2 linked regions of the Oryctolagus cuniculus genome follow. The protein of the gene in region 1 interacts with the protein of each later gene in a pairwise test. Links are inferred from orthologs where the notes say so. Each region holds a gene or a part of one and is shown on either strand. Other genes may lie near its edges.

Region 1 (9,175 bases):
AGGAGGGAGAAGGGCAGTACTGTGGCACAGCGGATTAAGTCACTGCTTACAGCACTGTATCCCTTATCCGAGTGCTGGTTCAAGTCCCAGCTGCTCTGCTTCCAATCCATCTTCTGTTATTGTGCCTGGAAGGGCAGCAGAGTACAGCCCAGGTGCTTGGGCCCCTGCGCCCATGTGAGAGACCGTGATGGAGTTCGTGCCCGCTGGCTTCAGCCTGGCCCACCCCTGGCTGGCTTTGCCCTTTGGGGAGTGAACAGCGGATGGAAGATCTCTGGCTTTCTCTGTTGCTCTACATTTCAGATGAGTAAGTGAACAAATGGATGTGTGAAAGATAGAATACCAATAAGGAAAGCCTGAAAGATAGAGATAATGCTTTCATTATTTTATACTGAACAATTTAAAAAATTTTTAATCCCCCCCCCCCCCCCCAACAAAGAAACCTTTTATTTAAGGAATACAGACTTCATGCATTTCCTAAGTACAACATTAGGAATATAATGATTCTTCCCACCATACCTGCCCTCCCACCCCTTCTCCCTCTCCTATTATTCTCAGTCCCATTCTCCACTAAGATCCATTTTTGATTAACTATACACAGAAGACCAACTCCATACTAAGTGAAGAATTCAACAATTTGCACAAAAAAAACCCAAAACCAATCCAAACCAAACCAAAACTGTTCTTCAACAGTCCAGACAAGGGCTGTTTAAAATCGTTGTTTCTTGAAGTTAATTTCACTTTTTTTTTTTTCTTACAAACTTAATTAACTTTAATGAAGCACCCAAGAATGATACATCTTTTGGGAGCACTTAACTATAGTTATAATACAACTCCTTGAGGACAGAGGTCCTGCATGGGAAGTTAGTGCACAGTGACTTGTTGTTGTTAATTTAACATTTAACTCTCTTATATATGATGTCAGTGATCACCCGAGGCTCTTTTTTAAAAAAAAGATGTATTTATTTGAAAGTCAGAGTTATATAGAGAAGGAGAGGCAGAGAGGGAGAGAGAGGTGTCTTCCATCTGTTGGTTCACTCCCCAATTGGCTGCAATGGCTGAAGCTTTGCCTATCCAAAGCCAGGAGCTTCTTCCATGTCTCCCACGCGGGTGCAGGGACCCAAAGACTTGGGCCATCTTCCACTGCTCTCCCAGGCCATAGCAGAGAGCTGGATCAGAAGTGGAACAGCTGGAACTTGAACTGGCACCCATATGGGATGCTGGCACTGCAGGTGGCAGCTTTACCCACTACACCACAGCGCCGGCCCAAGGAATATAGTTATTCTTCCCACCATACCCGTCCTCCCACCCTTCTTCCTCCTCCCCCTCCCCTTCCCGGTCCCATTCTCCACTAAGATTCATTTTCAGTTAACTTTGTAGCATTCACTCCTTTTTAATTCTATCTATTATTTTTACCAGACCCTTAATCTTATCCATATGATCATTTTAACAATTAAGATGGTATTTTTACCACCCAGCTTAAGGGTCTTTGGGGTTCCATGGCAAGTTTTTAAATTGTACCTTTAGAAGTAAGTCCTTAGGAATGCATGCAGAACTATACAGCTTTACAGTTGCAAACTTCATACACTTCCTAATTACAACTTTAGGAACATGGTGATTCTTCCCACCATGCCCACCCTCTCACCCATACTCCCAAACCCTCCTCCTCCTCTCTCTCTTATTCCCACTCTTATTTTTTACTGAGATCTATTTTCAATTGACTTTATACACACGTTTAACTTTAATTAAAGAGTTCAACAAATAGTATAAAAAAACCCAAAATTGTTCCTCAACAGTCAAAACAAAATGGCTGTTCTAGCTATTGCTTCTCAAAGTGTCAATTTCATGTATACAGTTTGCCTTTTAGGTGCTCTATTAGTTACCACAGGTCAGAGAGAACATGTGATCTTTGTCCCTGGCTTATTTCACTAAGCATGATGTTTTCCAGATTCATCCACTTTATTGTAGATGTCTGATTTTCATTTTTTTTTATTTTTCATTTTTTTAACCACTGTGTAGTATTCCATAGTGACATATCCCATGATTTCTTTATCCAGTCTTCATTTACTGACAGTTTGGTAAGCTTCATAGAGCTCATTGACTTTGTGGCAAGTTGTACCTTTTACATAAAAATGTCCATGCTGTTGATAAACGTAGACAAAATGTTAATTTCGTATACACAGCATTTCCTGTTATTTACTGGTATTACAGTTACATTTATGACATGCAGAATAATTTTTAGTTAAAAATTATGTTTGTAGATTCTTAAACCCTGTTTGAGGTTATGCCTTAGAATAGTTAGGATTAGAAACATTAATTGCATTAATTTTCCATAAAAAATGCTATCCTTTCTATTGGCTTTACACTAAATAATACTAGTTATATGTCAATACTTTCAAAAAGTGTGGATCTCATACTTGATCATGTTAGTAGCTCTGAAAGGCAGGAATTACGTTCCTTAGGAAATTATGTTGTAGATGACAGTAATCTGTCTCTTTCAGCGTGGTTTAATGCATGGATTAATGCTGGGCAGTAGATGAGGTAGAATGATCTATTTATTTTATTTACTTTTTATTAAGATTTCTTTATTTATTTGAAAGAGTTACAGAGAGGGAGAGATCTTCTATCTGGTGGTTTACTCCCTGGATGCAGTGGCAGGGCTGGGCCAGACCAAAAGCAGGAGCCAGGAGCTTCACCTAGGTCTCCCAAGTGGGTGGCAGGGACCCAAACACTTGGGCCATCTTCTGTTGCTTTTCTCAGGTCATTAGTGGGGAGCTCTATCAGAAGTGGAGCAGCCGGGACAAGAACCGGCACCCTTATGAGATGCCAGCATCGCAGGCGGCGGTTTTACCCACTGAGCCACAGTGCTGCCCCAGGATTGATGTTACTGATTCTCATAAAGGGTTGGCAGTCTTTGGCCTTTGGAGTAAATCTGCTTGATACTTCATTCTGTATGGCCATTAGCTGAGAATGATTTTAAATGGTTGAAAAAAGCAATATTTTGTGTCACATGAAAATTATGAAATTCACATTTCAGTGTCCATAAAGTTTGGTTGGAACGCAGCCATGCTTATTTGGTTACGTGCTGTCTGGTGCACGCGTGCTGTGACGCTTGAGTTGAGTAGTTGCGGCAGACCTGCGAAGCAGGTCTTTTTATAGAAAAAGTTTGCTGATCCGTGGAGTAGGTTCGTTTTCTGCCTTCCGAGTTTTTAAACTGCACAGAGATGTCTCAAGAACCTGACTGTTTTTCACGAGTATACTGTTTATAAAATGCTTAGCTCAGATCTGTCTCCTATAATGTATCTCTCTCCCTTCCTATACTCCCAGGGTAGCTGTCCAGTTTTCCTTTGTGACAAACAATTTACTTCTGAGAGTTTAGAGTGTTGCTGATGGGGTGTGTTTCTGATTCTTTACATTTCACAATAAAAATGAAAAAGGCCTTGTTTATTCTTTTTTTTTAAGGTTTATTTATTTATTTGAAAGGCAGGGTGACAGAGAGGCAGAGGCAGAGATAGAGAGAGGTCTTCCATCTGCTGGTTCACTCCTCAAATGGCTGCAACGGCCGGAGCTGCGCCAATCCGAAGCCAGGAACCAGGAGCTTCTTTAGGTACAGGGTCCCAGGGACTAGGGCCATCTTCTGCTGCTTTCCCAGGCCATAACAGAGAGCTGGATCAGAAGTGGACCAGCCAGGACTCAAATTGGTGCCCACATGGGATGCTGGCACTGCAGATGGCGGCTTTACCCACTGCGCCACAGCCCTGGCCCCAGGCCTCGTTTATTCTAATTTGTCCTTACCAGACTTAGAAATATTTTATATCTTGTGGTATATTGCTTTGTGATGGAATTTATTTACTCATTGCAAAAGGAACATTTTATTTACTTGTCCCAAGACATAGGGCTTCCTAGTGATTTGCGTCTTACCTTATTACCCCCCTTGCTGAAGTGCCAGCCGACGAAACTCTTGGCGTCATAACTCTTCTCTTGAATGACAGATCCTCAGCTGGGAGAGGACAGTGTCTTGTAGACGTGTTTTGGGAGCGAGTTCTGACTTCTGTTCAGGTCACAGATTAATATTCAGAATTATTAAAAATGAAATTGGCGGGAGAAAAGAATGCAATTGGAATAAGTTAAGGTTTTTGAAGTGCTTGTATGCATCTTAGTGCACACAGTGACCCCAGGGAGCCAGGTAGAGTTGCATTTGAATTTCAGAGCTTCTGACTCCAAATTTCATTTCCTTTTTATGTTATCGCATTATTTAGGAATAACGAGAAGTGCGCTTAGAACAGCTAAGGAGGGTTTATCTCATTCCTTTCAACAGGTCCTACTAAGAAACCTGTTCTGCCGTAGAGTAAAAAGTCAGCGAACGAGGTAGCACTGTGGGCGCCTGAGGACTTCCTAATGACAGGCCTGCTGCCAGTGTGGAGCAGTCTGTAGGCTTGCCTGGCAGCCGGTTACTGTGAGCGGGAGTTGGCAGCCCGGGTGTGAGGCTGAGTGGTCTTTCTGTCGTCCTGGGTGGTCTTTGTGAGACCAGCACAGAGACTCTGCCAGCCTTTGGTTCTGGTCCCTGCGTGGAAGCCTCCGCCTTTTCCAGCTCTGCCCTGGTTGTCGTCCTTGCGTGCCTGCTGCCGTGGTCCGGGTGGCTCCCTCTCAGACCATTTCCCATGTGCTTGCTTCCCTGCAGGGGTACCAGTTTGAGGAAGAGAACCCCCTGCGCGACCACCCTCAGCCTTTTGAAGAAGGGCTGCGGCGGCTTCAGGAAGGGGACCTGCCGAATGCCGTGCTGCTCTTCGAGGCCGCTGTGCAGCAGGACCCTAAGCACATGGAAGTGGGTGGCTCACCCCGAGTTCAGACAGGACTTCTCAGGGCGGCCCCAGAGTGCACATGGGGCAGGATGGGGGTTAGGGGGAGATGGGGAGGGACGAGGGACAGCAGACCAGAAGGGTGATGGAGCTGACAACTTCCCTGCAGGCGTGGCAGTATCTGGGCACCACCCAGGCAGAGAACGAGCAAGAACTCCTCGCCATCAGCGCGCTGCGGAGGTGAGTGCGCAGAGGGTGGGAGCGAGGTGGTTCTGGGCTCTGCAGGTGGTCTCCAAGGTGCCGGGAGCGCAGGCCTGGCCCCTGTGTCCCTGGCTGATGGCGAGAGTGTTTCCTCAGCACTGAGGCCCAGAGTGCGGCTTCTGGGGTTCCCTCGCTGCTAGAGCGCTGCGTTTCTTAGACCTGTAAGTGACTAGCTCTCACGGCGGAAGGTTTCTGTGTCTTAATCTGAGGAGCCTGGGCAGGTGAAGCCGTCGTGACTGCATTTCGAAATCTGGCTTGGATCCCAGACTGCTGCTGGGTGCCGGTGTCATTGCAGGTACCAAGTGTGCTCATCTCTGCCCAACAGGTGCCTGGAGCTAAAGCCAGACAACCGGACAGCACTGATGGCGCTAGCCGTGAGCTTCACCAACGAGTCCCTCCAGCGCCAGGCCTGTGAGACCCTGCGGGACTGGCTGCGCTACACCCCAGCCTATGCACATCTGGTAGCGCCTGGTGAAGAAGGGGCTGGCGGGGCAGGACTGGGTCCCAGCAAGCGCCTCCTGGGATCTCTGTTGTCTGAGTGAGTGTGAGGGCTTCCTGGCACGGTTAATTACTGGAAACTGGGCCTCAGGAGGAAGGTGGCCTTGATTTTGGAAGTTTGGACAGACTGGGACTCAAGGGTCTAGGAGGGGGAAGGGAGGCCCAGGTCTGCGTGTACCCAGTGCACTGCTGGGATGAAACAGGAAGATGGGCTTCTAAGTTGGGGTTTGTGAGTAGCAGGGAGGGCTGATACGTTGATGAATTCTGGGGCTGTGATTGACTAATTTTTAGGAGCTGTTTGGGGACTGACATTGTTTTGGGGTGTGTGTGCTTCCTCATCTAGCTCCCTATTTCTTGAAGTGAAAGAGCTCTTCCTGGCAGCTGTGCGCCTGGACCCGACGTCCATCGACCCTGACGTGCAGTGTGGCCTGGGAGTCCTCTTCAACCTGAGTGGGGAGTATGACAAGGCCGTGGACTGCTTCACAGCCGCCCTCAGCGTGCGTCCTGATGTGAGCCTCAGGCCAGGGGTGGGGATGGGATGTGACCCTGTATCTTACTGGAGGACCATTTGTTGTGCATTTTGGAGTCACAAGATAATTATGGGCCAGCATTGCATGCACTGCCTGCCTTGGGAGGGTTCGGAAGGAAGGGTGGGGGTGCAGAGTCATCTGGGCATAGGGAGTCTGCCTGGGGAGGGAGAGGTTACGAGGTTACACTGTGGCCACAGTGAGGAAGCACGATGGGATAGTCACATGTGCTAGCTAAACAGAGCAGGTGGAGGAATGGGCAGAATTTGATCTCACACTAGTTGTATGTTCCCAACCCCTTCTCCCTCCTTTCCCAGGACTACTTGCTGTGGAATAAGCTAGGGGCCACCCTGGCCAATGGGAACCAGAGTGAAGAAGCCGTGGCTGCGTACCGCCGTGCCCTGGAACTGCAGCCGGGCTATATCCGGTCCCGCTATAACCTGGGCATCAGCTGCATCAATCTTGGGGCTCACCGGTGAGAGTACCTCTGGAGTAATGGATGAACGCACTGTTTCTCCTGCCTTGGCCCTAGCCCCTCGTCCTCTGATCCTAACTAGCCTCGCAGCCTTCTGTCTCCCAAGACTACCTGACCTGCCTGCTTCCATTGTGCTCACAAGCGGTCATTCCTCCTTTCCCCACAGGGAGGCAGTGGAACACTTTCTGGAGGCCCTGAACATGCAGAGGAAAAGCCGAGGCCCTCGAGGTGAAGGGGGTGCCATGTCCGAGAACATCTGGAGCACCCTGCGTTTGGCGTTGTCCATGTTGGGCCAGAGTGACGCCTACGGGGCGGCTGATGCCCGGGACCTGCCTGCCCTCCTAGCTATGTTTGGCCTGCCCCAGTGACAGTGGGATGGGCTGCCCTGTGAGTGTCTGCTGGAGGGGTCCCCGCTCGGGATGTGACTCCCTCCCCCCAAATGGGCCTACCGAGGGGGTGGGCTGATGATCGCTGGCGGGACAGCCTCTCAGGAGCTGCCTCAGAGCAGGGGTGCAGAGTCCACGTGTCGTTCCTGCGTAATCGTGGGAAAAGGAACTGTGTTGTCTCTGAGTCCTTTGGTGATTCAGGGACTGCACGTTCAGCCCCAGGTCTCTCTCTGCTCACCGTGCCCTCTCCTGGTGCTGCTTTTTGGGTAGGACCCGATGGCTGTCACCAGCCACCGTGTCTGTGGGGTCCACCACATTTGTCATGTCTGTCCTTTCCCCCGCTTTGTTGGAAGTTGGTAACAGTCCAGCCTTCCTGGGCAATTGTGTGTGGGCAGTTCTTCATCGTGCATCTCTGACGTCGACTCCGGGATGGGATGTTAGCAGCTGGCTGAGGAGAGTGGAGTTGTGTTAGGGGCACACAGAGTTCTGTCATTCTTGGACCTCATGGCTGTGAGTTAGATCGCCTGATAGGATGCTGCTGCAGTAATGCTGGGGGAGTTCCCGTGGGCTCCTCTGGAGCTGCTGGGTCAGTTGCTACAGAGAGCGTTTGGGTGTGGGATAGGAGGAAGGCTCATTTTGGGGACGAGCCTATAGGGGACTGATGGGATCAGATCAGGGACTCCGTCCTGGAGCCTTTGGTGGGAGGACGGAGCGAGTGGGATGAGGAGCGTGGTGAATGCAGCAGTCCCTCTTAGGAAGAACTGTGAGTAGGAATCAGGCCAACTCTTCTAGAAAGTTGGTTCAGAAATTGTAATCTTGCCAAATTCCTAGCAGAGAGGGGGTTCAGTATTACCATAAGCCTTTGCTATACTTCTTGAAATATTTCCAGGGGGAGAGGGTTGACAAGCCCCCTCCCCTCATGTTACCTCCACAAGGTGAAGATGGAGGGAAGCCGAGGTAGCCTGGATTCTTGTCACCCGGCCCTGCGTGGGGAGACGCATGACCACTGGCAGTGACTGCGAAGCCTCCTGCCGCCTTGTCTTCAGTAGCTAATGATCAGAGAGATTTTTTTTAAACTACCATGGGCCCCAGGTTCCATCTGAAATTTATTTTTCTTTGTATGAATATGTGTAAATGATTTAAAAATAAAACTGTAAAATATTTGTATGAAGAATAAATGGAACTAATGTGGATATGAATTCTGCTGAAGTTGGTGGTGGGAAGTGGGTTGGTCTTCATCTTTCCAGTTCTCATTGGCATGTTGATCACCCATCCATCTACCCAGCAATTACTGAGCACCTAACGTGTGCGGGTACGACGGGTAAGACGGACAAGGACACTGTGCTCCTGGAGCCTCGGGCTTGGCAGGAGACACAGATGTTTGCGGATGGTGAAGTTTTACACTTGAGTTCCCCCTGCAAAGGAGACTCCACAGAGCTGTCTCATCATTGGGTTGTTTTCTGTTATGATTATGTGCGTTGGTTTTGATAGTTTGTTTCCAGTGTTCAGGCTTCTAAAGGTTTCACTGGGCTTTGCCTGTCTTGTCAGGAATTATATAAAGAGCCTTCGCAACATGGAAATCTATTCCAAGGAAAACATTTAAACTGCAAGCAAATATTTATGTGTTTATCAGTATGAATATTTTGGAGATAGGTGTCCATGGCCACATCAGAATAGGAAAAAAAGAAAACTCAGAACTGGGTCAGCAAATTATCCAGATAGCAGATAAAATAGCTGCTGATATTTAGGGGACAGTTCCCAGTGACAGTAGATGCTAACTTCAATGAGGGGAAAAGGTTAGCAAACTGCTTAAGGTTACCTTGCAAACCATGTGTTGAAAAGGCAGAAGGAGTATTCCTGGTATAGTAAGCGTGTGACAGTTAGGTGTGAATTTCCCGTCATAGTTCTGGGTAATTTCCGAGTTTTCTTAGCGCATGTGTAGTGGTTTCGTGGCGGCCGTGACCCCAGGGCAGTGGGGTCCTGGGCTCCGCAGAGTGGTGGAGCATGGCCACTGGCCTGGGAGTGAGGCAGCAGGCGCAGGGCGTGGGCTCCACGCCACACACACAGGAAGGGGCGAAGTCTGGCTGAATAAATGGCTTATGAGGGCCTGCGTGGCATGGTGGGTAGATCTGCTGCCTGCAGTGCCGGCGTCCCATGTGGGCTTCGGTTCAAGCTGCTCCACATCTGATCGAAGTCCATACTAATGGCCTGGGAAGAGCATCACATTGGAAG
Region 2 (7,418 bases), on another chromosome or scaffold:
CAGAGTGGCGTGAGGGAAATGGCAGGCTGGGTGTACAGCACGTGGTTGTCACCACTTGAGATGCCTGCGTGGAGTTCTGGCCACTCCACTTTGCATCCAGCTTCCTGCAAATGTACACCCTGGGAGGCAGCAGATGGTGGCCCGAGTGCTTGGCCCTTGCCACCCATGGGGGAGACCAAGGTTGATTCCTGGGCCTCTAGAAAATGAACCAGTGGATAGGAAGGAGGTCTGTATCCATCTTTGAAATAAAATGAAAATAAAAAGTGAATGGTGTTAAAAATTTAAAACTTCCAGAGAGACCCCATAATGGGCCTTAATTCTAAAAAGTGAACACCTGCTATTTAGTAAGTTTGAGGTTAGCAGTTTTTTGTGAATTTTTCCCTGAAAAGAATGTTCTTGGCATTGTATGGTGTCCTGTCTTCCACGTTCTGAGCTGGCTTCCTTACCCTTGCCACTGTCATTTACTTAACCCCGTCGTAAAGGTGTTCCGAGGTGTGTGGCTACCGCAGCAGCACTGCAGTGTGTCTACGAGCAGCCTGCTACCCTGATGCTACTCTGGACGCAAACTCCTGCTGGTGGCGTGGGCTGAAGGCTGGGGCAGCAGTGGCAACGGGACGTTGTGTCATCCCCCTCCCTCCCGCTTGAAGATGGGAACCTGTAAAGATGGCTGGCTCGTGGGGGGTGCGGTGCAGTCTGACATGAACTTGGCTTAAGGACTTTGACCTACACAGAGATGTGGCCTGCAGAGGAGGGGGTCACAGCTTCACCTTGGGGTTCACTACATGTACTTGAACACTTGTTTTGTGAGCTTCCTGTAAGGACGTTTTGAAACTTAACACTTGGCATCTGAAGCCAGATGGCTTCTGTCGGAGAGCGGCTTCGCCAGGGGAGTTTGAAACCTCTGGATGAGGAGAGACTACAGTCACCTTGCTGCCATAAACTTGGAAACCCACTAGCGTTGGCTTTTACTTCTTATGTGAGGTTTATTTTTTTTAAAGATTTATTTATGTATTTGATAGTAAGAGTTAACAGGAGAGGCAGAGAGAGAGGTTTTCCATCCACTGGTTTACTCCCCAATTGGCCACAATGGCTGGAGCTGTGCTGATCTGAAGCCGGGAGCCAGGAGCTTCTTGTGGATCTCCCACGTGGGCCCAGGGGCCCAAGGACTTGGGCCATCTTCTGCTTTCCCAGGCCATAGCAGCTGGATCGGAAGCAGCCAGGACTGGTGCCCATATGGGATGCTGGCGCTGCAGGCTGTGGCTTTACCTGCTGTGCCACAGTGCCAGCCCCTTTATGTAATGCTTTGATAAAGACACATTGTCTGATGATCAAGTCAGCTTAATTGGTATATATATATTACCATAATTTTGTGATGAAAACGTTCCAGAACCACCTTAGCTGTTTGGAAATAGACAATATGCTGTTAACCTTGCTGTGCAAAAGAATAGGTTTTTTGTTTAACAGGAAGGGAGAGACTTTGTTGGTTCACTCCCCAAATGGCTGCAGTGGCCAGGGCTGGGCCAGCCAGGAGTTTCATCGGGGTCTGTCACACAGGTGGAGTGCAAGCACTTGGGCCAGCCTCCGCTGCTCTCTGCACACTAGTAGGGAGCTGGATCTGAAGTGGAGCAGCCGGGACTCAACCAGTAACTATGGGATGCAGGTGCTGCAGGAGGCCCCCTAACCTGCTCTGCCCCAGGATCAGTGTTTTCCCAGTATGCCCTGGGGCGCAGTTTCATCTCCTGTTAGCACTCCTTGCAGGGACAACATCCCATGTGTGTGCAACCTAACCTTTTACAGCGAAGCATCCTACCAAATGTCCTAAAGTTGTATCCTGTCACATCTTGGAAGTCTGGGTAGGAGGTCCAGTGTGCTCCAGTGGCCCTGCGGACTGTCCCCCACGGCAGAGCCTGCCTATCCGGGCTAAAATCAGGAGACATGCGCGTTAAGCAGCGTCCCCTCCACCCACTGGCCCGCAGCCCCTGGCATTTCCGGGCGTTTTCCGAGGGCTCTTTCTGCGCCCGCGTCCTTGAGCTAGACGCCCGCTGCCTAGATCCCGCAGCCCGCCTGTGATCCCGTGCCTTTACCGCATGATCTCTTCACCAGTTAACATGAAGTGACTGCGGCCATTGCGTCCTTGGACACAGGACCGGGCTGTGATAAACTTTACCCCGCAGTCATAACAGTTGTTTCCTCGGGCACGGTTCCCACTGGGACAAAGTTTTAACGCTTAAGCCTCAGCATGCCGGCCGGCTTGCGGCGCTGTTGCTGGTTGCCCTTAGTAAAGATGGCGGAAGGGGCGCTTTAGGGCTGTTCCACTGCGGCTTCCGTGCCCTCACCTGACATGGCGGCCTCTTGGGCCCGCCCCTTGGCTTCCTCCCGCCGGGTTCCACGACTCGGTCCCGATGGCGACGGCGATGGCGGCCACTCGCGGTCTCCGCGACCTGCTGATGCGGCGTGAGTCACTTCCTGACCTGTGGGGATCTGTTGTGCTGTCCAAGCGGCTGTAGGACCACTCGGGGTCACGGAGGGTCCTCGCGCCCCCGCCTAAAGGGTTACTCATTACAGTCTGGGGGCACTGATGACTCCATGTCCCCATGGGTCTGGAACCACTGAGCAGTGCACCCTGATGTTAAACCCAAGTCTCTGAGGGGCCGTGTTCCCCGCCTGTGGGGCCCTGGTGCGCCCTCTGCTCTCAGAAGCGCTGTGTGCCCCCTCGGGGGTCCTCAGAGGCCCTTCCTTCCTCTGTCTCCCTAGGACTGGCAGCTCCCAGCTGCCCGGGCTTCAGCCTTGGCCTCCGCCCGCTGGGCACCTCCGCCCACGGCGAGGCCCCCAGAGCAGCCCCCTGCGAAGCCCCGGGCCACAGCTACGAGTCCCTCCTGGTGACGGCCGCCCAGAAGCATGTCCTGCATGTGCAGCTGCACCGGCCCGACAGGAGGAATGCCATGAACAAGGCTTTCTGGAGGTCTGGCGGCCCTCGGGGTGGCCGGGGTGGGGGACAGACGGATGGCCGTGAGCCGGTGCGGCCCCTCATCCCTGGCTCCTCCGCAGCGAGATGGTGGAGTGCTTCAACAAAATAGCGCAAGACTCCGAGTGCCGGGCCGTGGTGATCTCCGGGGCGGGGAAGATGTTCTCGTCAGGTACCTGCGGCGCCGCGCACCCCGCCTCCCCGCGCCTGGCCACAGAGCCGCGCTTCCAACTAGCGCCTCGATCCTTTCTTTCTTGAAGTCCTCACTTAAGGCATTCAGCTCTGGAAAGTAGCCTTGACCTCTGAGAGCCTGTAGCCAGGAGCAGAAGCGCGTGGGCTCCCAGCCCTGGCCCTGCGTCTTTGACCTCTGAGAGCCTGTAGCCAGGAGCAGAAGTGCGTGGGCTCCCAGCCCTGGCCCTGTGTCCTTGACCTCTGAGAGCCTGTAGCCAGGAGCAGAAGCGCGTGGGCTCCCAGCCCTGGCCCTGTGTCCTTGACCTCTGAGAGCCTGTAGCCAGGAGCAGAAGCGCGTGGGCTCCCAGCCCTGGCCCTGTGTCCTTGACCTCTGAGAGCCTGTAGCCGAGTTGGCCTGGCGCTCCCACACCCTCGCCTGCTGGGCTCGCCTGCATTCTTCGCATTTCAGCTGTCCGTTCTGATTTCCATGGGGTTTATTTTAAAAATTTTCTATTTCTGTGCTGAAGTTTCCTTTCTGTTTGTCATGAGCTTTTTTTTTTTAATTTTTCTTTTTGTTTAAGATTTATTTTATTTATAGAAGAGGAGGAGAGAGTAAGGTCTTCCTTTTGCTGTGTTCGCTCCCCAAAATGGCCCCAACCACTGGGGTTAGGCCAGGCCAAAGCCAGGAGCCAGGAGCTTCCTCTGGGTCTCCCACATGGGTGCAGGGGCCCAAGCACTTGGGCCATCTTCCACTGCTTTCCTCCATGCATTAGCAGGAGCTGGATCGGAAAAGCAGCCGGGACTCGAACCCTCACCTCTATGGGATGCTGGTGCCGCAGGCCGAGGCTTACCCTGCTGTGCCACAGCGCCAGCCCCTGTGAGTGTAGTTGTAAGGGCTGCTTTAAAATCCCATTCTCCCAGGTCTGACATCTGGGTCTTCTTGTGGCCCGTCTCTGTTTATCATCTTTTCTTCTGAAAATGGCTCTCACAGGCCTGTGTGTGTGTTTCGAGTCAGTTTGCACTGTGCTCTGGGTATTGGCGTGTAGCAATAGGGGGTTGTGCAAACTCCAGATTCCATGACACAGTTATATCTAACATGCTGGGACATGGTTATATCCATCACTGGTGAATTTCTTGTTTGAGCAGCTTAGTTGCAATTACATTTTCTTGTGCTGGGCTGCAGGGATGGTTCCCAAATCAGCATGAGATTTGGGCACAGGTTGTTAATTTATTTATTATCTATTTTAAAATATCTTAAATGTGTTTTCATTTTATTTGAGAGACAGACTGGGAGACCTCTTCCCTGCAGTTGGTTCATTCCCAAGATGCCCACAGCAGCCAGGGCTGGACCAGGCCTAGGTCAGGAGCCAGGAGCTCCATCGGGGTCTCCCATGTGGGTGGCAGCAGCTCCAGGACTTGCACCATCATCTGCCGCCTCCCAGAAGCATCGGCAGGAAGCTGGATCGGAAGTGTGGAGTTGCCGGGACTCAAAGCGGCTTCCTGGCAAACAGTCACCCTTTGCCATGCCATAAACATTGTCATCCTAGTCTCCTGGTCTGAAGAAAATGCGGTGCTACCAGCACCTGCCCCCCCACCCCAGGTTGCCGTGAGGAGCAGGCGTCAGGTCCAGGTCGGGCAGCTACTGAGGTAGCCGCTGTTTCCTGTGATTATAAAAAACCACAGGGGCCGGCACTGTGGCACAGCAGGTTAAGCCATTGTCTGCAGTGCCGGCATCCCATATGGTTATGGGTTCAAGTCCTGGCTGCTCCACTTCTGATCCGGCTCCCTGCTAATGTGCCTGGGAAAGCAGTAGAAGATGGCCCAAGTGCTTGGGCTCCTGTTACCCATATGGGAGACCCAGAAGAAGTTCCTGACTCTTGGCTTAGGTGTGGCTCAGCCCTGGCCATTGGTGGCCATCTGGGGAGTGAACCAGCAGATGGAAGACCTCTCTCTCTCTGCAACTCTGACTTTCAAATAAATAAATAAATCTTTACCGCGGCTCACTAGGCTAATCTTCCGCCTTGCGGCACCGGCACACCGGGTTCTAGTCCCGGTCGGGGCGCCGGATTCTGTCCCGGCTGCCCCTCTTCCAGGCCAGCTTTCTGCTGTGGCCAGGGAGTGCAGTGGAGGATGGCCCAAGTGCTTGGGCCCTGCACCCACATGGGAGACCAGGAGAAGTACCTGGCTCCTGCCTTTGGATCAGCGCGGTACGCCGGCCGCAGCGGCCATTGGAGGGTGAACCAATGGCAAAGGAAGACCTTTCTCTCTGTCTCTCTCTCACTGTCCACTCTGCCTGTCAAAAAAAAAAAAAAATCTTTACCAAAACAGTAAATAAATGCATAACGACAGGATGGCCCGAAGGACGTTGAAGCACGCACAGGTTCCCCAGGGAAGGAGGCGGAGCTTCTGCATAATGATTTTTCCTGAAGATCTTCGTCATTGATTTTGGTTGATTTGAAAGGCAGAAAGACAGAGATCTTCCATCTGCTGGCCCATGCCCAGATGCCCACACAGCCAGGCAGGGCTGGACCAGGCTGAAGCCAGGAGACTCGAGTGTGTGTGAGCAGGAAGCTGGCATTAGAAGCAGAGCCCAGACTCAAACCCAGGCACTCCCCTGTGGGAAGCAGGTGTCCCGAGCAGGATCCAAATGCCCACCCCACTGTGATTTGTTCTTGCTTTGGGCCAGCCGCCGGGGGGCCATGCTCTGGGGCCCTTCACTGCACTGGGCTGCCAGTGCCGATGTCGCAGGTCTGGGCGGGAGTGGGGCAGGGAACCAGAAAAGCCGGTGAGCGGAGAGGAGCTTGTGCAAGGCATGGGCAGAGCCCTGGCGCGTCACAGGTGTGGCAGCCACAGGTGCCAGCAGGCGGTCAGGCGCAGACCCAGTGAACAGCAGGGGCTCCTATGACGCTGTCGCGTGCTAGGCACTGCTGCAGCCACCTCCAGGCCGCCATCCCCGAGTGCCCGCGCAGCCTGGCCAGCTGCCGGGGTCCATCAGCACTGGTCAGAGAAGACACCCCAGGCCCGAGGAGGAGGCGAGCTGGCCAGGGACCTGGAGCGAGTCCTGCCGTCCCGGGCCCAGCCCTGCTTGGAGCCCACACTCCTCTGACCTTTAGTTATTTAATCATTAGTAGTATTTTTACTGTTTTTAAAGAAATTATGAATTTGAAAGGCATAGTTACAGAGAGAGAAAGAGAGAGGTCTTCCATCCTCTGGTTTACACAATGGCCAGGGCTGGGGCAGGCTGAAGCCTGGAGCCTGGGGCCCCATCCAAGCACTTGGGCCATCTTCGGCTCTCCCAGGCACGTTGGCAGGGAGCTGGATCAGAATGGAGCAGCTGAGACTCGAAGTGGTGCCATATAGGATGCTGGCGTCACAGGCAGCGGCTTAACCCAATGCAGCAGCACACTGGCCCTAACGTCTTACTTTTCAAAAATTTTATTTGGGGGCCAGCGCTGTGGCATAGATTAGCCATCTGCTTGTGGCACTGGCATCTCATTTGGGTGCTGGTTCAAGTCCCGGCTGCTCCATTTCCAGCCCAGCTCTCTACTATGGCCTGGGAAAGCAGTGGAAGCTGGGCCAAGCACTTGGGTCCCGGCACCTGCTTGGGAGACCTGGAAGAAGCTCCTGGCTCCTGGCTTCAGATCAGCCTAGCTCAGCCATTGCGGCCATTTGGGGAGTGAACCAGCAGATGGAATACCTCTCTCTGTCTCTTCCTCTCTCTGTTTATAACAGTGACTCTCAAGTAAATAAATAAATCTTTAAAAAAAAAGTTTTATTTGACAAACAGATGGAGAAAGAAATCTCTCATCCGCTGATTCATGGCCCGGTGCCCACAGCAGCCAAGGGGTTGAAGCCAGGAGCTGGGAGCTCAGTCCAGGTGTGCAGTGTGGGTGCAGGGACCCAGGTCCCGGAGCCGTCACTGTGCCTCCCAGGGGGCACTCTCCCAGGATGCTGGAGTCGGAAACCGGAGCTGTGGTTGTCCCACGTGGGCGGCGCAGGCGTCCTAACCAGTGGCTTAACCACTAGGCTGGACAACCACCTCTGGCCCCTCTTATTTAAACAGAGAAGCCCCGGAGAGCCAGGGCTGTGGCCAGCGTGGGAATGCCTTCTCAGGCTTGTCACACGGCTCGTCCAGGGGACGGACAGGTGAGGGGTGAGGACGCAGCCTAAGAGGAAGATGGTGACGAGGATTCTGCTCAGGCCCCGCCCCCTGTGGCCCACGTGCCCCACACCCCTCTGACCGGGCTCCTCCTGCGAGCCCCTCGAGCCCACTGTCCCGGCC

Evidence for each region.
Region 2: the proteins of PEX5 (region 1) and ECH1 interact in a two-hybrid assay, tested with the Homo sapiens proteins (2 studies listed by BioGRID and IntAct, with this or other methods). The link is inferred for Oryctolagus cuniculus from reciprocal best matches to the Homo sapiens genes PEX5 and ECH1.

The regions. Positions count from the first base shown.
Region 1 is NC_091440.1:102,354,149-102,363,323, reverse strand, and holds the end of PEX5 (peroxisomal biogenesis factor 5), read left to right. Parts: intron 1-4,678; coding exon 4,679-4,822; intron 4,823-4,965; coding exon 4,966-5,036; intron 5,037-5,382; coding exon 5,383-5,595; intron 5,596-5,898; coding exon 5,899-6,064; intron 6,065-6,399; coding exon 6,400-6,557; intron 6,558-6,723; coding exon 6,724-6,925; 3' UTR 6,926-6,944; exon of another isoform or gene 6,945-7,878; 3' UTR 7,879-8,136; downstream 8,137-9,175.
Region 2 is NC_091449.1:15,908,814-15,916,231, forward strand, and holds the start of ECH1 (delta(3,5)-Delta(2,4)-dienoyl-CoA isomerase, mitochondrial), read left to right. Parts: upstream 1-1,114; 5' UTR 1,115-2,402; coding exon 2,403-2,454; intron 2,455-2,754; coding exon 2,755-2,962; intron 2,963-3,048; coding exon 3,049-3,137; intron 3,138-7,418. UniProt on the Homo sapiens protein: Isomerization of 3-trans,5-cis-dienoyl-CoA to 2-trans,4-trans-dienoyl-CoA.